Linked DNA regions of Arabidopsis thaliana. The protein of the gene in region 3 interacts with the protein of the main gene of each other region in a biochemical or structural test. Each region holds a gene or a part of one and is shown on either strand. Other genes may lie near its edges.

Region 1 (7,245 bases), on a different chromosome or scaffold from region 3:
TTGTAACAGGCGAGTATGGCTGGACTGCAAACATGGAGAGGATCATGAAAGCTCAAGCCTTGAGAGACAGCAGCATGGGTGGCTACATGTCGAGCAAGAAGACAATGGAGATTAACCCAGAGAACTCCATCATGGATGAGCTGAGAAAGAGAGCTGATGCAGACAAGAACGACAAGTCTGTGAAGGACCTTGTACTTCTTCTCTTTGAGACCGCTCTTCTCACTTCTGGTTTCAGCCTCGATGAGCCCAACACTTTCGGGAGCAGGATTCACAGGATGTTGAAGCTTGGATTGAGCATTGATGACGATGATGTTGTTGAAGCCGATGCTGACATGCCTCCACTTGAAGATGATGCCGATGCTGAAGGTAGCAAGATGGAGGAAGTTGACTAAATTATCACACACAGTCGACTTAATCATTAGGGGTGTTGAGACATTGGTTATCTTTTTATCTTTTTTTTTTATGTTTTCGTTTGAACTAATATTTTGGAACTATTTTCTGGAGTTTATTTCTTCTATCGCTTGTTTTCGTGAAGATTTTTTCTCTGAATTCGGTTTGATGACAAAGGTTCTCTTATGCACAATCTTGCAAATCCAAGCTTATTTTGGTTATGTAGCCTATAACTAAGTTATTAGTATGACTAATATGGCTAATAAAATACATGAAGCAGCTCCAAATCATATTGTTAAGCATCTCAGACAACACAGCTTACATATTCTTTACAATAATAAATAATTTATTGTTCGACATAATACTGTTGTTACTGTTTGACTTAGCGTTAATTTTCTGCACAAATGTTGTTACTACTTTGATTAAAAAGGATAATTTGTGTAACAATTTTTTGGTCAGTTTTAAAGGTTATTATTATTTTTTTAAATAACTTTTACGATTAGAATATGAGTAGTGCAACGCAAAATAACACTGCCGTTTAAGACGACGGTCCCTTGACAGAATCTTCATCAACGCTCGATTTGACGTCTGCCGATTTCCTTAGCTCCGACGTAAACCACTGATCGTCGGTATTCAGCTATATTTTGATTTCTCAGCTCCAAAAATTCCCAACGAAATGGAGAAAATGGCCAAAGGATGGTTTCCGATGAGCGGCACTAGTAGCAGCGGAGATCAGCAGCAGCAACCGCTGCAAACAGGAGGAACGTCTCTGCTAGCTGATTGGAATTCTTACGCAGCATCGAGAGATTTTGAAGAAGACACCGGAACTTTAGGCTTCGATATCGAATCCGCCGTTAGATCTGCCAACGACACTGTTTCCGGCACCTTTAATGTGTAATCCATCCATCTCTTTCTCTTAATCTTTAGGGGTTTAACGATTGATCGTGACCGTATCTGAGAAATTAGGCGTTTTCGCCTGCTATTGAGGATTGGATTGGTGTAAATTAAATCTGGAATCTGAGAAATTGTGATTAACCATATAGTTTAAGCTTTGCCAGATTCGTTGATCAGATTTACAAATTCTCAGGGTTTGAAGCTATTGTTAGTGAATGATTTTGATTAGTGTCTTCTCTCAATGACTTAGAATTGATTAAGAGTCTTAAGCATATCTTTTTCTTGAAGTGTTACTAACTTTTTGATTTTGAATTTTGTTGTACTCAAATCTGGATTGTTAACAGTGTTTCGAAAGGAGTTAGAGATAACCTGCAGTCTGCAACAAGTAGTATGCCTTCAGGAAAAGCTTTGATGTATTTCGGTTTACTTCTAGCAAGTGGTGTATTCTTCATCTTCATTGCCTTCACCATGTTTCTTCCAGTCATGGTGCTTATGCCACAGAAGTTTGCAATTTGTTTTACCCTTGGATGTGGATTTATCATCGGATCTTTCTTCGCTCTTCGTGGCCCGCAAAATCAACTCGCTCACATGTCATCGGCAGAGGTAATAACTAATAACAAAACCTTGTGTTGTGCAGCTTCTTATATCTGCTGTATTTCGTTTACATTTTTCTCTTTGGAATTTTAATTTCTTGTTTGCTGGCTTCTCCAGAGGCTTCCACTAACTTTAGGTTTCATTGCCACCATGGTTGGCACCATATATGTCTCGATGGTGCTCCATAGCTACATTCTCTCTGTGATTTTCTCTGCATTACAGGTACTTAAATTTCATCTTCCTTCCCGACTCTTGTTGGTGTTTATATCCTCTGTTTTTCATATGTTAAAATTTTCCTCTTCCCCATTTCACAAATCTTACCTATGAAGTTCTTTTTTACCCTGCATGTTTCATCTAGTAAGCTCTTGCCTCGTCGAAACATAATGTGTTTAGTAAAAAACATGTAGACTTTCTTATTGCTGTTTTAAAATACAAGTTGGGTTAGTATGAATTATGAAGAAGCCTTGAACGCCATATCTTTGGTTGGTCTCTTGGCTTGTTTTTGCAAATGCACTTACTTGCGACAGAAACAGCTTTGATATATTATTACTCACCCGTTATCGATATGGAATATATACTTTAAGAACTCACTAAATCATATCCTTCATGTCGGTTTAAAGATTAGTCACGTATCTGCACATTCTGTAAGTATAGTAATCTCATAAAAAACCTGGTCTCTGTTCTCTGTGAATCCATAGGTTATTGCACTGGCGTACTACTGTATATCATATTTCCCTGGTGGATCATCGGGAATGAAGTTCCTCAGTTCTACTCTTACCTCCTCTGTCTTCCGAATGTTTGGGAGATGAGCTTTCGCTTTGACCTATGCAAAGAAAATAACTTGATTCTCTCGTGTATAAAGAAAGATGAAAGATCTTCAACAGTGGTTAAATGACAAATCTGGTAAAATATGTTGGTCCAATGGCTCAAAGACAGTTTTGTTATAAATTTCCTATATTGATACTTTCTGCTAAATTGGTTCAAAACTTCAAATCACTAGCCACTGGATGAGGTATGGAACTTGAAGAGTTGCTTGGTGGATACATTCTCTAATCTAGGGTAAGTCGTTAGCTTCAATGTCTTACTGTGAATTATTACATCAGAATTAAGAAAGTTATTACACGTATGTTTTCACTGAGTTTACTACACTGGCAATGTGGCATACATCTCTTACTGCAAATTGCAGACAAGTGGTCAATCAAATCTTTTTTAGTTGGGCCCAAAATGTCTGTTATTGGATACGTTGGGCCTTAAAATGGCCCCCATCAGTCAAAAACATCACTGCTTGGAGAAGGATCTAGAAAAACTTGCAAGTTAGTTCAAACAAAATAAAGGAAAAAGAACGATCTAGAAGAAAGAAAAAAAAAGGAAAAGAAACCCTTATGGAGGTTCCCACACCACTCTATATATAATAACATCCTTCTCCTAAATCCCGCATCAGTACTTCTCTCTGCTCTCAAGATAATTTTGTTCTCTCAATTTCATTCTTAAACCCTAGTTCTTCGATTTTTTCCGATCTACGACAATGGCGGACGCTGAAACCTTTGCTTTCCAAGCTGAGATCAACCAGTTGCTTTCCCTCATCATCAATACCTTTTACTCTAACAAGGAGATCTTCCTCCGTGAACTCATCAGTAACTCTTCTGATGTACGATCTCTATCTCTCTCTACCTTATTGTATACTTGTGTATCTCGTTTGATTGATTTGGCGGATGGATCTGTAGATTTAGGTTTGGTTAGGGTTTAGTGTTCTTTCCGTTGGGAGAATTTTGGTTACTTACTGAAGTTGCGAAGCTTTTTGTGTACAAATCTATTGTTTAGGTTTAGTGTTGATACCAAGGATTTAAGTAGTTTCTTGTTAGATTACCAAGTTTTCGATTGCTTATAGTTGATTTGCATACATATTATGTGTATTGTTTGCTTACGATTGTGATTCTATTCTGGTGAAAACAGGCTTTGGACAAGATTAGATTCGAGTCCTTGACGGACAAGAGCAAGCTCGATGGTCAGCCTGAGCTCTTCATTCACATCATTCCCGACAAGACTAACAACACCTTGACCATTATTGATAGTGGTATTGGCATGACCAAGGCTGGTACGTAATTGATTTCATCCTAAATCAATTTGTTTCGATTTTGTTGTTGTTTGTTAGTCTTGCATCTGTGTTTGTTTTGTTGGCTAATTCGTGCTTCTTCTATTAGATTTGGTCAACAACCTTGGAACAATTGCAAGATCTGGAACCAAGGAATTCATGGAAGCACTGGCTGCTGGAGCTGATGTTAGCATGATTGGTCAGTTTGGTGTTGGTTTCTACTCTGCTTACTTGGTTGCTGACAAGGTTGTTGTTACTACCAAGCACAATGACGATGAGCAGTACGTGTGGGAGTCTCAGGCCGGGGGATCTTTCACTGTGACCAGAGACACCTCTGGGGAGACTCTTGGTAGAGGAACAAAGATGGTTCTTTACCTCAAGGAAGACCAGTTGGAGTACCTTGAGGAGCGAAGGCTTAAGGATTTGGTGAAGAAGCACTCTGAGTTCATCAGCTACCCAATCTCTCTCTGGATTGAGAAGACCATTGAGAAGGAGATCTCTGATGATGAAGAGGAGGAAGAGAAGAAGGATGAGGAAGGCAAGGTTGAGGAAGTTGATGAGGAGAAAGAAAAGGAGGAGAAGAAAAAGAAGAAGATTAAGGAGGTTTCTCATGAGTGGGATTTGGTGAACAAGCAGAAGCCTATCTGGATGAGGAAGCCAGAGGAGATCAACAAGGAGGAGTACGCTGCTTTCTACAAGAGTCTCAGCAATGATTGGGAGGAGCATTTGGCTGTGAAGCATTTCTCTGTTGAAGGACAGCTTGAGTTCAAAGCTATCCTCTTTGTTCCCAAGAGAGCTCCTTTTGATCTCTTTGACACTAAGAAGAAGCCCAACAACATCAAGCTCTATGTCCGTCGTGTCTTCATCATGGACAACTGTGAAGACATCATCCCTGAGTACCTCGGATTTGTGAAAGGTATTGTCGACTCTGAAGATCTTCCTCTCAACATCTCGAGAGAGACATTGCAGCAGAACAAGATCCTCAAGGTCATCCGCAAGAACCTTGTGAAGAAGTGCCTTGAGCTCTTCTTTGAGATTGCTGAGAACAAGGAAGACTACAACAAGTTCTACGAGGCTTTCTCTAAGAACCTGAAGCTCGGTATCCATGAGGACTCCCAAAACAGAACCAAGATTGCTGAGTTGCTCCGTTACCACTCAACCAAGAGCGGTGATGAATTGACTAGTCTCAAGGACTACGTGACAAGGATGAAGGAAGGTCAGAACGATATCTTCTACATCACTGGTGAGAGCAAGAAGGCTGTTGAGAACTCTCCATTCCTTGAGAAGCTCAAGAAGAAAGGTATTGAAGTTCTCTACATGGTTGATGCGATTGATGAGTACGCTATTGGTCAGCTTAAGGAATTCGAGGGAAAGAAACTTGTTTCTGCAACCAAGGAAGGTCTGAAACTGGATGAGACCGAAGATGAAAAGAAGAAGAAAGAAGAGCTCAAGGAGAAGTTTGAAGGACTCTGCAAAGTGATCAAAGACGTTTTGGGTGACAAGGTCGAGAAGGTTATTGTTTCTGACCGTGTTGTGGACTCACCGTGCTGTCTTGTAACCGGCGAATACGGCTGGACTGCAAACATGGAGAGGATCATGAAAGCTCAAGCCTTGAGAGACAGCAGCATGGCTGGTTACATGTCGAGTAAGAAGACAATGGAGATTAATCCAGAGAACTCCATCATGGATGAGTTGAGAAAGCGAGCTGACGCAGACAAGAACGACAAGTCTGTGAAGGACCTTGTGCTTCTCCTCTTTGAGACCGCTCTTCTCACTTCTGGTTTCAGCCTTGATGAGCCAAACACTTTCGGAAGCAGGATCCACAGGATGCTGAAGCTTGGACTGAGCATTGATGACGATGATGCTGTTGAAGCCGATGCTGAGATGCCTCCCCTTGAAGACGATGCTGATGCCGAAGGTAGCAAGATGGAGGAAGTCGACTAATTTATCACACAAAAGTCGACTAAATTATTAGCGGTGTTATAAGACTATGGTTTTCTTTTTTTCTTTTCGTTAAAACTTATGTTATTTTGGTGATTATCTTCACGAATTTTTTCTATGGTTTTATTGTTGTGAAGATATTTCTCTGAACTCGGTTTTATGACAAAGATTCTATTATGCTCAAGAGACTGATTCTTACATATCCAAGCTGAATTTTGTCAGGGTATTAGTAGTAACCTAGTTATGATTATATCTTCCTAATTAGAATTTAGAATAACAAATTATAAGAAAATAGAATAACACAGAGATCATATCTTCTGGCATACATATCTTGCTGTGAATTATATTGCATCCGAATTAGAAAAGTTGCCACAGTTAAATTGAAATGTTTTCACTAAAAAAAAAAAAAACTACGCTGCCAATTGCCAATCTCTTGCTGCAAAGTGCAAACAAATGGTCAATCAAATTTTTAGATGGGCCCAAAATGTCCGTTGTTGAATACTTTGGGCCTTAAAATCGACCCATCAGTCAAAAAGACTCGTCAATATTAGAGACTGGCTTTTTTGATACAAAAGATCACCCAATAATGCAAGATTAAGCCTAAATTTATTATTTTGTCCCAAAAAAAAAAAGCCTTAATTTATTAATGTAATCAAAATTAATTAAGGGAAACCCCACACTGCTTTTGCTCTCAAAATTTGACCGTTAGTGGAGACTTATTATATAATACCACGAACTTGGCGTTAGTGCAAGTGAAACTCTTTAGTCTTTAGTTAAAACTTAAAAGCAAAGGCTATGTTAGGTTAAGACAACGGAGCCTATTGATTAACTTATGTAATTTCTTTTCAATAGTCGTATTTTCCTCTCTTTTTTTTTTCTTTTTTTTTTGGCACCTTCCTATTTTCTTACCAAATTATTATTGTTCAGTATTTTGTATATAGGAGTAAACTGAGTGATTACCATGATTTCAGCTAATATTTAACGATTATACTCACCTAATTTACAGTTAGCTAAACTGAACTTTCTAAAGCATCATATATACCCAAGCATGTATTCATATTTGGGAAAATTTTAGACTAGCAATATACTCATTCAGAATTCATATAAAGTTAATTTGAGGCATTTGATGTAAACAATTATTGATGTACTTTATTTTATTTTTAGACTTTAATTAGAGTTTAACTAATGTGAGCGAGAAACCCGAGTCCTGGAAATACGGAAGAATATTTGACCCTTTAATTTACACCTTTCATCACACGTAATATCATCCATTTTATATTATGATCCACAAACAGCAAAGGCCCATTAATCTCATTATATTTTAGATTAATTGA
Region 2 (6,910 bases), on a different chromosome or scaffold from region 3:
GGAACAACTCAATGAAATCTTGACCTCTTAGTATAGATCCACAGAACTTGGATGCGAGACCAAACTTAGCGATTGAATTAGTAGACAATCTCGAGAGTATATCGAGAATGATATCAATCGGGATTGGATCTGATTTTCCTTCTCTTTCCATCGTACGTTTTTCAAAGATCGTGTATTTTGGATTTTGGTTCCAGTTCCAGTTCCAGTTCCAGTTCCAGACTTAACGTAGACGACAACCTAGGGTTCAAAGGCAATTCATTCATACCTAATGGGCCGAATGAATTCATGGGCCATGTTAGAGGCAACTAAAAGGCTGGACGAAACTATCTATTTTAGCCTTTTAGGGGAGGTAACGTATTAATGTCCCCAACTATCTTTTATAGGATGCATAGTTGGTTTTAACTAACATTAAAGGTGTTACTAACAATGGGCAATGATGGTAAAATTATAACGCAGTGGACACAATATAACTTAGCCATACCAATGCAAAGAATCTTGAAACTAGTATTAAACTCAGTCACGTATATGCTCTCCAGTCTATGCTTCGAAGAGCTTTCTTCTAATCCCATACGAAGAAGCTCTCTATGTTTTTCTAATTTAATCAGGCTTAGACAACTAGTTTCAAAGTCATAATTCTTGGTGTCTGAGTTGTCTTCCCTTTCCATCGAGTTTTTTAAAGATCGTGTCTTTTGGTTTCCAGTTCCAGACTACGTAGGCGACACTTCAGGGTTTCAAAGGCAATGGCACTAAAAGTCACTAATGGGCCTAACGACTTAATGGGCCTTGTGAAACGTTACCCAATAAGAGACCTGGTTTCTCACTGAGTTCAACCATCTTCTTCCCCATGGCTCTGAATTCTTCAGCTTTCTTCGTTCCATGTCACAATTACAATCAAATCTGTGATCTTCTTCTTTCTTCAGCTCGAACCAGATCAACTATTAAAGGACTTCAGCTTCATGGCTATGTCGTTAAATCAGGCCTTTCTCTTATCCCTCTCGTCGCTAACAACCTCATTAATTTCTACTCCAAATCACAGCTTCCGTTTGATTCTCGTCGAGCTTTTGAAGATAGCCCACAAAAAAGTTCGACGACTTGGAGTTCAATCATCTCTTGTTTTGCCCAGAACGAGCTTCCATGGATGTCACTCGAGTTTCTTAAAAAAATGATGGCGGGAAACCTTAGACCTGATGATCATGTTCTTCCATCAGCTACAAAGTCGTGTGCGATTTTGAGTCGTTGTGATATTGGTAGATCAGTTCATTGTCTATCGATGAAGACTGGGTATGATGCTGATGTGTTTGTGGGGAGTTCTTTGGTTGATATGTATGCGAAATGTGGAGAAATTGTTTATGCGAGGAAGATGTTCGACGAAATGCCTCAGAGAAATGTTGTTACTTGGAGTGGGATGATGTATGGGTATGCACAAATGGGTGAAAATGAGGAAGCTTTGTGGTTGTTTAAAGAAGCTTTGTTTGAGAATCTCGCTGTTAATGATTACTCGTTTTCGAGTGTTATTAGTGTTTGTGCAAATTCGACTCTACTTGAGTTAGGTAGACAGATTCATGGATTGAGTATTAAGTCTAGCTTTGATTCTTCTAGCTTTGTGGGAAGTTCTTTAGTCTCGTTGTATTCAAAGTGTGGTGTTCCTGAAGGAGCTTATCAAGTTTTTAACGAGGTGCCTGTGAAGAATCTCGGGATTTGGAACGCTATGCTCAAGGCGTATGCGCAACATTCACATACTCAAAAGGTTATTGAATTGTTCAAAAGGATGAAGCTTTCTGGAATGAAACCAAATTTCATAACTTTTTTGAATGTGCTCAATGCTTGTAGTCACGCGGGTCTAGTTGATGAAGGGAGATACTACTTTGATCAGATGAAAGAATCGAGGATTGAGCCGACGGATAAGCATTACGCTTCCTTGGTGGATATGTTAGGACGAGCTGGTAGATTACAAGAAGCACTTGAAGTTATCACTAATATGCCGATTGATCCCACGGAATCTGTATGGGGAGCTTTATTAACGAGTTGTACAGTCCACAAGAACACAGAGCTTGCAGCATTTGCAGCAGACAAGGTCTTCGAATTAGGACCAGTGAGTTCCGGTATGCACATTTCGTTATCCAATGCTTATGCAGCCGATGGTAGATTCGAAGACGCAGCTAAAGCTAGAAAATTGCTTCGAGACCGAGGGGAAAAGAAGGAAACAGGGCTAAGTTGGGTTGAAGAAAGGAACAAGGTTCATACATTTGCAGCTGGAGAAAGACGTCATGAGAAAAGCAAGGAGATATATGAGAAGCTGGCTGAGTTAGGGGAAGAGATGGAGAAAGCGGGTTACATTGCAGACACAAGCTATGTTCTGAGAGAAGTGGATGGTGACGAGAAGAATCAAACCATAAGGTATCATAGTGAGAGATTAGCTATTGCTTTTGGACTGATCACGTTTCCAGCTGATAGACCGATCCGAGTAATGAAGAATCTGCGTGTTTGCGGTGATTGCCATAACGCGATCAAGTTCATGTCCGTATGTACGAGACGAGTGATCATTGTGAGAGATAATAATCGGTTTCATCGGTTTGAAGATGGCAAGTGTTCTTGTAATGACTATTGGTGAAGAAGACAAATGAGAGTTGGTTTATATTTAACCATAATTTCATTCAGTTCACACTGAACCGGCGAAATTTCTTTGCCAGACCTATTCGGAATTGAAACAAGTGGAGTCTCGAAACGAAAAGAACTTTCTGGAATTCGTTTGCTCACAAAGCTAAAAACGGTTGATTTCATCGAAATACGGCGTCGTTTTCAAAGAACAATCCAGAAATCACTGGTTTTCCTTTATTTCAAAAGAAGAGACTAGAACTTTATTTCTCCTCTATAAAATCACTTTGTTTTTTCCTCTCTTCTTCATAAATCAACAAAACAATCACAAATCTCTCGAAACGCTCTCGAAGTTCCAAATTTTCTCTTAGCATTCTCTTTCGTTTCTCGTTTGCGTTGAATCAAAGTTCGTTGCGATGGCGGATGTTCAGATGGCTGATGCAGAGACTTTTGCTTTCCAAGCTGAGATTAACCAGCTTCTTAGCTTGATCATCAACACGTTCTACAGCAACAAAGAAATCTTCCTCCGTGAGCTCATCAGTAACTCTTCTGATGTAAGTTTCCCTTCAAATCTCTCTCTGCTCGGTGTGACTCGTCCGCTTCCTATTTTCTTGCATGTTGTTTGTTCTTTAATTCCTGGATTCGTTGATAGCGTTGGATTCGTAGGTTTAGCGTTGTGATTGCTTATTCAAATAAATCGTGATTTGGCTTGTGCATCACGTTAAGTTTAGAATTCTTAGCTTGTGCTCGATCTTCATGTGTTGTAGTTACATATATAGAACGGTTCTTGCTTCGATGTAGTCTTTGATTTACCCTAGAGGATTGAGGAAAGCTTCTGATTATCTTTGTTTATATGAATGGTTTTGTAGGCTCTTGACAAGATCCGATTTGAGAGCTTAACGGATAAGAGCAAGCTCGATGGACAGCCTGAACTCTTCATTAGATTGGTTCCTGACAAGTCTAATAAGACGCTCTCAATTATTGACAGTGGTATTGGCATGACCAAAGCAGGTAACGAATCAATGCCTAATAATCTCTCGTTGGTGAGATGTTTTAGTGTATGTGCTGTGGTTATGACTCTCTATTATTTTTTCAGATTTGGTGAACAACTTGGGAACCATTGCGAGGTCTGGAACAAAAGAGTTTATGGAGGCGCTTCAAGCTGGAGCTGATGTAAGCATGATAGGACAATTTGGTGTTGGTTTCTACTCTGCTTATCTTGTTGCAGAGAAGGTTGTTGTCACTACAAAGCACAATGATGATGAACAATACGTTTGGGAGTCTCAAGCTGGTGGTTCCTTCACTGTCACTAGGGATGTGGATGGGGAACCACTTGGTAGAGGAACTAAGATCACCCTCTTCCTTAAGGACGATCAGGTAAGGAATCGTAGCTTTGAGTGTTTTGGGGATTGTTTCTTTTCTTTTGGTGTTTTCTGTGTTCTTACAAGTGTGTTTATTCATGCAGCTTGAATACTTGGAGGAGAGGAGACTCAAAGACTTGGTGAAGAAGCACTCTGAGTTCATCAGTTACCCTATCTACCTTTGGACCGAGAAAACCACCGAGAAGGAGATCAGTGACGATGAGGATGAAGATGAACCAAAGAAAGAAAACGAAGGTGAGGTTGAAGAAGTTGATGAGGAGAAGGAGAAAGATGGTAAAAAGAAGAAGAAAATCAAGGAAGTCTCTCACGAGTGGGAACTCATCAACAAGCAGAAACCGATCTGGTTGAGGAAGCCAGAAGAGATCACTAAGGAAGAGTATGCTGCTTTCTACAAGAGCTTGACCAATGACTGGGAAGATCACTTAGCCGTGAAACACTTCTCAGTGGAGGGTCAGCTAGAATTCAAGGCCATTCTCTTTGTACCAAAGAGAGCTCCGTTTGATCTCTTTGACACGAGGAAGAAGTTGAACAACATCAAGCTTTATGTCAGGAGGGTGTTCATTATGGACAACTGTGAAGAGCTAATCCCAGAGTACCTCAGCTTTGTGAAAGGTGTTGTTGACTCTGATGACTTGCCACTCAACATCTCTCGTGAGACGCTTCAACAGAACAAGATCCTTAAGGTGATCAGGAAGAATCTAGTGAAGAAGTGCATTGAGATGTTCAACGAGATTGCTGAGAACAAAGAGGACTACACCAAATTCTATGAGGCTTTCTCCAAGAATCTCAAATTGGGTATCCATGAAGACAGTCAGAACAGGGGAAAGATTGCTGATCTTCTACGGTACCACTCCACAAAGAGTGGTGATGAAATGACGAGCTTCAAAGATTACGTCACAAGGATGAAGGAAGGTCAAAAGGACATTTTCTACATCACTGGTGAAAGCAAAAAGGCGGTGGAGAATTCTCCCTTCTTGGAGAGGCTGAAGAAGAGAGGATACGAGGTACTTTACATGGTGGATGCGATTGACGAATACGCTGTTGGACAATTGAAGGAGTATGACGGTAAGAAACTTGTTTCTGCGACTAAAGAAGGCCTCAAACTTGAAGATGAGACCGAAGAAGAGAAGAAAAAGAGGGAAGAGAAGAAGAAGTCCTTCGAGAATCTGTGCAAGACGATTAAGGAAATTCTCGGGGACAAGGTTGAGAAGGTTGTGGTCTCAGACAGGATTGTGGACTCTCCCTGCTGTCTAGTAACTGGTGAATATGGATGGACTGCAAATATGGAGAGGATTATGAAGGCACAGGCGTTGAGAGATAGCAGCATGAGTGGTTACATGTCGAGCAAGAAAACAATGGAGATCAACCCCGACAACGGTATAATGGAGGAGCTCAGGAAGAGAGCTGAAGCAGACAAGAATGACAAGTCTGTTAAAGATCTTGTCATGTTGCTGTATGAGACAGCTTTGTTGACGTCTGGATTCAGTCTTGATGAACCGAACACTTTTGCTGCTAGGATTCACAGGATGTTGAAGTTGGGTCTGAGTATTGATGAGGATGAGAACGTTGAGGAAGATGGTGATATGCCTGAGTTGGAGGAGGACGCTGCTGAAGAGAGCAAGATGGAGGAAGTCGACTAAGAGATGAAGAAATTGCTCTTATGGTTCTGAAAACTTCTAATATGTCGAGTTGTTCTGAGTTTTAAGATTTTCCAAAATGTCTTTGTCTTTTTTTTTATATCTTTAGAGTTACTTGAACATTGTGACTACTTCTAGGGTTGGGTTTGTGTCAGGTCTGTTATATCGTGTGGTGGGTCTGTCTAATACTGATTCAAGTTTTTGTTATTCAGCTAAGGAACTTTTCTTGTTTCTGAACAAATCTTTTGGTTCCCTAGAGTAAAACTTGACTTCCAAAAGATAGACTTCCTAAGATCACTGGAATAGATAGGAGTGACAACTTGACGTGAAAGGTAGCTTGGCTATAGTAATTTTAGATCTGACAAAACGAGATCAAGAAGTTAATAATTTTCACAACACCAATTTGTTATCGCTTAAAGGTTGATTGATTTGTTCAATAGGGGGAATCATATTCTCGCATGCTCGAAAAGGGGAGAGAAGATGGAATGAACATAACTTTAAATCGGATGTTTGATTCAACAACAAAACTAAACTCAGATAGAGATTATGAAGGATTCCGGAATCTGAATTACAAAAGCAAAATTTAAAGCTGAAAACTCCTCCATGGTCTTACTGTCACCTAAAGACATTTCTTTTTCAAGGCAAACCTGAACCAGATGGTGCAGCTGCGCTGTAGCCACCAGCACCACGGCCAAAACCACGGCCACTTCCCTGATAAACAAGAAAGGATGTTAGAACAATGGCAACCAAACAAAGAGAAGGCGGGTAAATCAAATCACAAGGCAATTATATAACTATAGACTTTGAAACACTTCACAGCTAAAGTAAAAGATTTATGTTCCTTGTAACTAAAGTGATAAAGAGAGACTAAATATGTTCATGGTTTCTCAGGTTCAGGAGCTCTATGATAAAGACTTCAAGAGTAGCACATTATATGACGTTGGTGAGATAGAGAAGTAAATAGAAGGTATGGTCAGTGAGAATTTACTTGGAAAGATGGCTGGTAATCTGCGGGAGCTCCACCCTTTTCACCTCCAAACTCACCACCAGCTCGAGGACCTGCACGGTACCCATCACGGTCACCAAACCTGGGACGGTCTCCTCCTTCATGGCGAGGTCCTCTGAAATACAAAGAAACCCAAACCATGTCAAACAAATTAAAAAAAAAAAAAGTTTTTGCCAGACATGAAATGGGTTAAGCAAAGAGTTAATCACCTTGAGCGATCACCAGGTGGGCCACCAAATGGACGACCACCAGGCTTAGCTGACTTCTTCAAAGTAGCAGGAACAACATCA
Region 3 (8,526 bases):
TAAAAGAGTTATAAAATCGTAATCTCGTAACTGATCAATGTTGACGTCATCCACATCCCAAACTATTTATCATTTTTACCCCCCAAACAAAAAACTATTTATCTTGGGGGTTTTTGTTTTTCGTTTTTTACACTTTAATGCATTTCTAAACTTTTTGAAAATCAAATTACTACCCAAAAGTTACCAAATTTACTTTCAGGAATTCAAAAGTTACCAACTAAAATCCAAAACTATAGAGATTAGAGAAAAGAACAAATGTAGAATTTGGATCTAATTTTCTAATTATCAATAATATTTTAAGTAAAAAAATATTTGATTAGTCAGTTATAAAATAAAAAATTTGATAAGTCGGATTATATGCTTTTGACAATAAGAGAAAGACAAAGATATCATCAGATAACAAGAAAATAAATAAAATATACTCTAAACATATTCAGTTTGACCCCAAAAAAAAACTCTATACATGATCGTAACAGAGTATTCGCGTGAATTTAGATGTAGTTTCTCTACCCTTTTTCAGGTATCCTATGAAAAAATCAATAGTACCTATAAAAGCTTACTTTGTTGTAATTTATCCTCTTTTCGTAAATTTTAATTTGCTACCATCCAACATGTCTCAGCTTTTACCCAAAGTTTACAAAAAAAATGTCTCTGTAAAGGATTTTGATTATTCCCATAACTAGAAACAATTAAATCAAATTTATCAAAAATATCAAAGCTCTCTGAGACATGGAAAGAAATAGTGTAACAGATGGCCAAGAGGACTTTAGCTTAAAGAAGCACAATCATTTCAAAAAGCAAATCATTTGTCACTTTCTTCTTCTTCACCTATCCATCCACAAAAACACTTTCCTTTTCCTCTCATCAAGAAACTCCCTAATCCGACGTCGTTCGTTTTAATTCAGTGACACAATCTCCCACATCTTCAAACCCTTTGAAACCAGCGATTACAGAGATGCAAGATCCTCATGTCCCATCTTCTCCAACTATCTCCTCCGTCTCTTCCTCCGATCTTGATACTGAGGTCAGTTCCTGCAATCTTATACTTAATAGATAATCTAATTAAAGATCAAGCTCTTCATGTGTTTTCTAAGCTACCCATAAAGCTTTATGCTATAAAGTATCAACCTTTAATTAGAAAACTAGTTTAAAGTTCCAAAGGTTATGTTTTCAGAACTGCCCAGAAACATATATATGTACTTGTTAGAACTTGATTTGGTTTTTTTATTGGTGATGTGAGGATTTAGTCAACAGGATCGTTCTTCCATGACAGAAGCATCACACTTGGAACGCTTATGGGATTTAGTTTCACTGCAACTATGCCGATGCCATTTAGAGCCTCTTCACGCCGCCACGTGTCACCTTCCGTCGCAATCTCACGAGCTTCTAGCTCCAATGCAAGACGCAACCACCAGAGAAAGCGTCCTCCTTCAAATTCGGCTGAGCCTGAGCCGCATCGCCGCCGTAAATGGTGGCGGTTTTGCCGAGATGACGATGACGACGCCGCCGGAAATGGAATCCACCGTGGAACAGGAGATTCAAAGCGGTCATCGCTCGGGGAGTATCTAGAGGTGGAACGGAGGTTTGGAGATGAAGCCGTTTACAACTCCGCCGAGGCAGAGCTAGAGGATGCGGTGGTGGCACGGTACCAAGATCAGCAGCCGGTGATGGGGGAGCGGGCATTGTTCGCTGACGGAAGGGTTCTTCCTCCGGCTTCAGCTGAAGTGGTTACCGGAGAAGGAACGCCGGTAGCCACGTCCCTTTGTAGATTTCCGGTATCTTTAACCGGTATATGCAGCGGTGGTGGAGGATGAATACGTCGGTTCATGTGTGTGTCTTTTATTTGTATTTAGACTTAAATTTTTGTATTTTGTTCGTCGAATCGGAATCATTGTTTGTGGAAAATATAACATGTTGAATGTAGTCATTGTCAAAGTAATTATTTGAGAAATAATAATGATTGATAAGGAGAATTATGAAGGAGATTAATTACAATGGCAATAGTAAAAGATAAGCATATAGAATGGCACACATGCACAGCTTTTGGTGTAAAATGGAGTTGTTCACTTGATTAGAGTTTTTATTTAAAATGCTAAACGTTGTTCTATCATATTGAGTTTTTGCTTCAAATTATTTCATCAATACGTCTTTATACTAGTCAGTCTTTGGACAATAATTTGACCAAATCAGATTTTGAGGCAAACACAATATGATTCTGGCCAGGAGTGTGCCACATTCGTGGTTAATTTTCCACTAGTATTTCTGAAAGTAAAACAATTAACCACAAATCATCCTCATAACATAAGAGGAGAAGATTCCTAACGACGAAGCAAAATTATCGAACAAGTGGACACACACAAGAAACCGAAAATACGGCAAAATGTTTGTTATGTGTATCCATATTTTATACCAATTGAATTAATAAAATAAACTGTAAAAACAAGAAACAATTAATAAAATTAATTTTTTGTTTTACAACGTGAATAAAAAACTGTTGACAAAACGAAAATAAAATAAACCCTCGAGTGATGTTAAAAAAAGGAAGAAGGAAAAAGAATAAAAACTCAAAGGGAACGCAACACACTAAACAAAAACTCTTTGGCGTCCTTCTCCTTAGGGTCTATCTCTCTTATCTTAAGCAGCAGCAGCAGCAGCTAGAACAAAAACGTCACCGATGGCGTCTCAAGCTGCGAATCTCTGGGTTCTTCTAGGTTTAGGTCTCGCTGGGATTCTTATGCTTACCAAAAAGCTGAAGAAGACCGTCCGTGAAGATTTCGGCGCTTTTATCGATAAACTCATGCTTCTTCCCCCTCCGCAACCTGCTCCTCCCAAAGCTCCTCATCCTCTCACCGGTCTAACCTTTGCCGTTTCCGACGTGTGAGTCTCCGTTGACTTGTTTCCCCCTTTCTTCTCCCATATGTTTATCATATCTATATTTGGGGGTTTAGCTGAATGATTTTTTCCTTGGGTAGAGTCAAAATTTTGTTTGACAAATGTTGGAATCTGCGTTGACTCGACTCGTAATCTTCTCCGGCGCACTACATGTCTGATTCTGAGCTTTCGAAAGTATGGTTGATTGATTTTGAGCCGTTTCACTGAAAATTGTGTTTGTTGTAGATTCAAATGTGTGTGTGTGTGTGTGTGTGTCTGCTAGTTTTGTCAAACTCATTTCAAATCGATACTTGTTGAATCTGTTCATTGGAAGGCTCTACTGTTTGATCTCTGTTGCTAGGTGTTTGTATGTTTTAGATTCGTCACCAAGTTTGACCTCGACTTATTCATGGAGTCCTACTTATAACTGTCTCAACATGTTGATTGACTATTTATCTAATCTGTGTATATCTCTCATTCTCTTCTATGATCTTTTGACTTTTGAAGTTCTTGAAAAGCTAATTTACTCTTTCTTTCCTTTTCATTTGTTTTCCAGATTCGATATTACAGGGTATGTGACTGGATTTGGTCATCCAGACTGGGTCAGGACCCATGAAGCTGCTTCGTCAACATCTCCTGTGGTTTCAACTCTCGTTGAAGGTGGAGCCACTTGTGTTGGAAAAACTGTAGTTGATGAGTTTGCGTTTAGGTTTGTCTCTGTTTCATAATGTTAAATTGTTACCTGTATCAGGATTCAGATTGTGATTCCAGTGTTGAAATTTTTATTTTATCAGGATGTTAGTATATTAATTCCTTTGTTTGGCTGTTTTCATTTTCTTCAGTATTAGTGGAGAAAACAAGCATTACGATTCACCTACAAATCCTGCAGCTCCTACTCGTATTCCTGGTGGCGCTTGCAGTGGAGCTGCTGTAGCCGTAGCAACAAATGCTGTGGATTTTGCTCTAGGTGAGTTCAGTAGCTACTTTTTTCCTTGTTTGGACAATTTGGTATGAGATAACCGTATCTTTGAGAAACAAAACATTGCATAAACTTTCAAAACATGGTCAATAATCTTCCTTAGAAAATTTCTGAAACGATTGATAATTTATTTATATTGCAGAAACTTATTTGGCATCTAATAGAATTGCTTGATTTAGACTCTTATGGCTATATGGTAAGATAGTTCCATGCGGATTTATAATTTATATGGTAGTCTGTCATTGGCTCCTCCTATCAGTATCTAAAATTTCAACTGTCTACTGGTTGGTTCGGTTTCAATTGTTTTCAGAGTATAGTTTTGATTACTTGCATCTTTGCAGGCATCGACACAGTTGGCGGGGTAAGAGTGCCTGCTGGATACTGTGGCGTTCTTGGATTCAAATCTTCTTATGGGGCTATTTCAAACACCGGAATCATACCAGTATCTTCAAGTCTTGACTCTGTTGGTATGGATATATAAATCTTTGAATTATACTGTTTGTGGTGGAATGATTTGGATCTTATATAGGCTAGGTTTCAATTGTTGTATAATCACATTGCAAGATTTAGATGCCTTTGTTCGTATGACTAATTTATATTTAGGACCATTAAATGAGCATTACGTTGATTCTGATCAATAGATTTTGGCTTCAGGATGGTTTGCCCGCGATCCAAACACCCTACGTCGTGTTGGCCATGTACTCTTGCAACTTCCATTTGCCACTCAACGGAATCCAAGGCAAATCATACTAGCTGATGACTGTTTTCAGCTGTTAAAGATCCCTGTGGATCGGATTACCCAGGTGGTGACCAAATCAGCTGAAAAGCTTTTTGGAAGTATGCCCTTTACTCTCCCTGAAGATCCTCCAGTCTCTGTTAGAAATTCTGATTATAATAGCATTATCTTGTTTTATATTTAGGACAATTGCTAAAGCATCAGAACTTGGAGACCTATTTTGAAACTAAAGTTCCTAGCTTGAAAGAGTTCGCTAGGACAAAAGCCATTGCTAACACGAAGGTCTCAACATCGAGACTACTGGCGAATGTGATGCAGCTCCTTCAAAGGTGTGCCTATTGTTTATTCACCTACAGAGGATGAAAATATCTTAGTTTTGAACACTCTATAACAATATTGGCATTGTAGGCACGAGTTCCTTCAAAATCATGGGGATTGGATCAACACAGTGAAGCCAGCCATTGATCCTGTGATTTTATCACAAGTGTGTGAGAACCCAGAACTAACCAATGAAGAGACTGAGAACCTGAATGCTATCAGAAACGAGACTCGAGTGGCTATTGGTTCACTTCTCAAGGTATTCCTGCTCTTCCATGACATGTCCACAACTTGAGCGAGTTAGTTTATATGTCTCTTGACTAATCTCTAATGGTTCCCAACTCTGTAACGTTATGTATCAAGGATGATGGCATTCTGGTAATTCCAACATTGCCAGCTGTTCCTCCAAAACTTGGTAGCAAGGAGATAACATCTGAAGACTATCAAAACCGAGCTTCAAGTCTGCTTAGCATTGCTAGCATATCAGGATGTTGTCAGGTTAAATCTCTCTCTTTCTCTCTCTCACCTGCCATGCTAGTAAAGTTCCCCTCACACATGTTAAAAGCAACCACTGACCAGTCAGTGTTAGCAAAACCAATCCACAGTATATGTGTCTTACATTTATCGTGCTGATGATTCAGGTGACTGTGCCACTCGGACATCATGAGAAATGCCCTATTTCAGTTTCTTTCATAGGAAGACACGGTGGTGACCGCTTTTTACTAGATACAGTGCAGACAATGTATCCATCTTTGCAAGAGTACTCGAGTATTGTTACCGATCCCAAATCTTCTAAAAAGGCTATCACCAAAGAAGAGTCAGCCGAGATTGCCAAAGAGAAGGTCAATTAATATCCATTGCATGTCTCATTTTCTTAATGGCATTATCATCCATAATCTAATGTGGTTATTATATCTTTGTGTCCCGTGATTATGTAAACCAGGGTAACCAAGCGTTCAAAGAGAAACTATGGCAGAAAGCTATTGGTCTATACTCAGAAGCTATAAAGCTAAGTGACAACAATGCTACCTATTACAGTAACAGAGCTGCTGCATATCTTGAACTTGGAGGGTAAATGTTTCTCAGATCCTTAAAAATACTTTTTAGTGAGCAAATCTTTCTATGTGGCATTGCCTTGACAAATCATTTACATACAGCTTTCTTCAAGCCGAAGAAGACTGTACCAAAGCCATCACCCTCGACAAGAAGGTAACTTTCATTAAAACACAGAAACAGGTTTCTCTTGAAAAAAAAACACTCTTTACTTTGTAAGAACACACAACACAAAGATCGTTTTTGATTTCTTTCAGAATGTTAAAGCCTATTTACGAAGAGGAACCGCAAGAGAAATGTTAGGCGATTGCAAGGGAGCCATAGAAGGTAAGCTTTAAAGAACATAATCTGATTGTTTTTTCGCCTTGTAGAATCTGGCAGAATATAACATAAACTCTGCAGATTTCAGATACGCACTTGTGCTGGAACCAAACAACAAACGAGCGTCTCTCTCAGCAGAGAGACTGAGAAAATTCCAGTGAGCTTCTTTTGTCCGTACCTCACCGATCATTGAGAAAACGTTTGTTCCTTAGAATTTGTCCAAGAGTATAGGCCAATTTTGTCAACACTTGTCTTTTGCGTCTGATATTTAGGCATTTTATCTAGAGATACCTTTTGCAAGTCCGCCGAGAATGGAAAATTATAATATCCGATGTTTATTTTAAACGTTCTCTAAAATTGGATATCAAAAAGTAATGTTAATCTTAAACACCGGATACCGGCATTCCCGGTCGACTTCTAGTCAGCGTAGCGTCAAAAATAAGGTCATGTCTTTAACTATCTTGTCTTTATCATTTTCTTTTCTCGCACGTTATCTCCTCCCCACGACTCAAAAAAAATAAACAGAAAAAAAGAGGAGTAGAAACCAAAGAGACCTGCCCTAATATTTAGCGATGATAGTTTGAACGGAACGAAATCTGACGAAAGAAACTAAAGAGACCTTTGAATTATCTTCACGGGTGAGTTGGTTCGTTTAACCTTTTTTCTTTATCTCGGTTGTGCTTTTCCCCGAGAATTAAACGTGTGTTGGTTGCAGCGTTAACAAAAAAAAAGGGTTGTAGAAAGTGAGTAAGGAAGAAATAATCAGGAACATTAATAAAGGAAATGACAACGGCGTGTCCGGCGAGGACAAGCTCACTAATGGACGATCTCTTGGGCCTCCTTAGAATCCGTATCAAACGTGGCGTCAATTTAGCCGTCCGTGACATCAGTAGCAGCGATCCTTACGTCGTCGTCAAGATGGGCAAACAGGTTAATCCATTCATCATTTTACAACTTCACATGCAATTTCATTACATCAAAAACATTCTCAAATTATCATATTAAATCTTACAGAAATTGAAGACTCGTGTCATTAACAAAGATGTTAATCCAGAATGGAATGAAGATTTGACTCTCTCCGTCACAGACTCCAATCTTACCGTCCTCTTGGTACTTTTTACTTACTAAAACATACATTAATTTCCTTATCATAAGATGTTTATATTGATAAAACTATAATGTTATATGTAGACGGTGTATGATCACGACATGTTTAGCAAAGACGACAAGATGGGCGATGCTGAGTTCGAGATAAAGCCCTATATTGAGGCTTTGAGGATGCAACTCGATGGACTTCCTAGTGGAACCATTGTGACCACGGTTAAGCCAAGTCGTCGTAACTGTCTAGCCGAGGAGTCACGTGTCACCTGGGTCGACGGCAAGCTCGTCCAGGATCTCGTTCTCAGATTGCGACATGTGGAATGCGGAGAGGTCGAGGCTCAGCTTCAATGGATTGACCTCCCTGGCTCCAAGGGTCTATGAATCTTTTTTCTTTTCTTATTTACCGTTACTTTGAGTTGTTTTCTTTCAAATTGAACTAAACCAAGTAACAGCATGGAAAAAAACAAGTAATTTCAATCTTGAAGGATATAGTGAACTAGAAACACGTATTAATCCATGGAAATATAAGGATTAAGAACGTTGAGGGAAGTTTTGTTCCCATATGGTGATCGAGTCCAAGTCGAGTCGTGGTGGTGGATATGTAAATGTGGTGTATTGTTGATGTGTATGTATATTTGGGCTAGCTATGCCTTAAATAAGGCATTTACACGAACAACTAATACAGATATTTTATTTATTTAATTATCGTTCCATATACTTATGAATGGTAGATTGTTTTAACACATGTGATGTACTAATGTTTATAGGTAAAAAGTGAAAAAAAGACCAGCATATTACCATTTACCATCGACATCGATAGGCCTTTTTTAAACCATTGACATTGGAGGTTTTATGTGTACGTTACTGAAGCACAACTTATGTAATTTTTGTGAACAAGATTTACTTGTACATTAGCGCTAATTAAGGTCATAAAGAATAATGATGAAGAAAGAATAAAATATCGAAGGGAAAAAGCCAGAAGCCACAAAAGGGATGGTAGGTGAAGAGAATCCAGATGTACACTAATGAGTGAAGCACCATGGTTTTATAACGACAAAACACGTGAGCCATAATTGTCCTTTACTATGAGTGGCACGGCGACTTTACAATAATGTGTCAAACGACCGTGACAAGAGTGAAGTGTAGT

The links. Proteins that work in one complex are often made in the same cells at the same time.
Region 1: the proteins of TOC64-III (region 3) and HSP81-2 form a complex in vitro, tested with the Arabidopsis thaliana proteins (2 studies listed by BioGRID).
Region 2: the proteins of TOC64-III (region 3) and HSP90.1 form a complex in vitro, tested with the Arabidopsis thaliana proteins (one study listed by BioGRID).

What each region holds. Positions count from the first base shown.
Region 1 is NC_003076.8:22,683,520-22,690,764, forward strand, and holds HSP81-2 (heat shock protein 81-2), read left to right. Parts: upstream 1-3,312; 5' UTR 3,313-3,403; coding exon 3,404-3,613; intron 3,614-3,831; coding exon 3,832-3,973; intron 3,974-4,079; coding exon 4,080-5,914; 3' UTR 5,915-5,952; downstream 5,953-7,245. Other genes in the region: HSP81-3 (heat shock protein 81-3), read left to right, coding at 1-392; AT5G56020 (Got1/Sft2-like vescicle transport protein family), read left to right, coding at 1,067-1,284, 1,629-1,887, 1,996-2,100, 2,577-2,687. UniProt on the Arabidopsis thaliana protein: Molecular chaperone. Involved in RPM1-mediated resistance. Component of the RPM1/RAR1/SGT1 complex. May stabilize RPM1 and protect it from SGT1-mediated degradation. Associates with RAR1 which may function as co-chaperone. Possesses ATPase activity.
Region 2 is NC_003076.8:21,349,531-21,356,440, forward strand, and holds HSP90.1 (heat shock-like protein), read left to right. Parts: upstream 1-3,026; coding exon 3,027-3,149; intron 3,150-3,464; coding exon 3,465-3,606; intron 3,607-3,691; coding exon 3,692-3,972; intron 3,973-4,060; coding exon 4,061-5,617; downstream 5,618-6,910. Other genes in the region: AT5G52620 (F-box associated ubiquitination effector family protein), read right to left, coding at 1-151; MEF1 (mitochondrial RNAediting factor 1), read left to right, coding at 845-2,611; AT5G52650 (RNA binding Plectin/S10 domain-containing protein), read right to left, coding at 6,251-6,325, 6,603-6,735, 6,830-6,910. UniProt on the Arabidopsis thaliana protein: Functions as a holding molecular chaperone (holdase) which stabilizes unfolding protein intermediates and rapidly releases them in an active form once stress has abated.
Region 3 is NC_003074.8:6,145,356-6,153,881, forward strand, and holds TOC64-III (translocon at the outer membrane of chloroplasts 64-III), read left to right. Parts: upstream 1-2,550; 5' UTR 2,551-2,674; coding exon 2,675-2,877; intron 2,878-3,427; coding exon 3,428-3,580; intron 3,581-3,713; coding exon 3,714-3,838; intron 3,839-4,191; coding exon 4,192-4,317; intron 4,318-4,504; coding exon 4,505-4,687; intron 4,688-4,770; coding exon 4,771-4,915; intron 4,916-4,994; coding exon 4,995-5,163; intron 5,164-5,267; coding exon 5,268-5,402; intron 5,403-5,545; coding exon 5,546-5,746; intron 5,747-5,847; coding exon 5,848-5,975; intron 5,976-6,061; coding exon 6,062-6,113; coding exon of another isoform or gene 6,114-6,176; exon of another isoform or gene 6,177-6,214; coding exon 6,215-6,284; intron 6,285-6,359; coding exon 6,360-6,439; 3' UTR 6,440-6,727; downstream 6,728-8,526. Other genes in the region: AT3G17950 (uncharacterized protein), read left to right, coding at 956-1,024, 1,248-1,814; C2 (Calcium-dependent lipid-binding (CaLB domain) family protein), read left to right, coding at 7,062-7,208, 7,293-7,388, 7,470-7,760. UniProt on the Arabidopsis thaliana protein: Chaperone receptor mediating Hsp90-dependent protein targeting to chloroplasts. Bi-functional preprotein receptor acting on both sides of the membrane. Not essential for an efficient import of pre-proteins into plastids.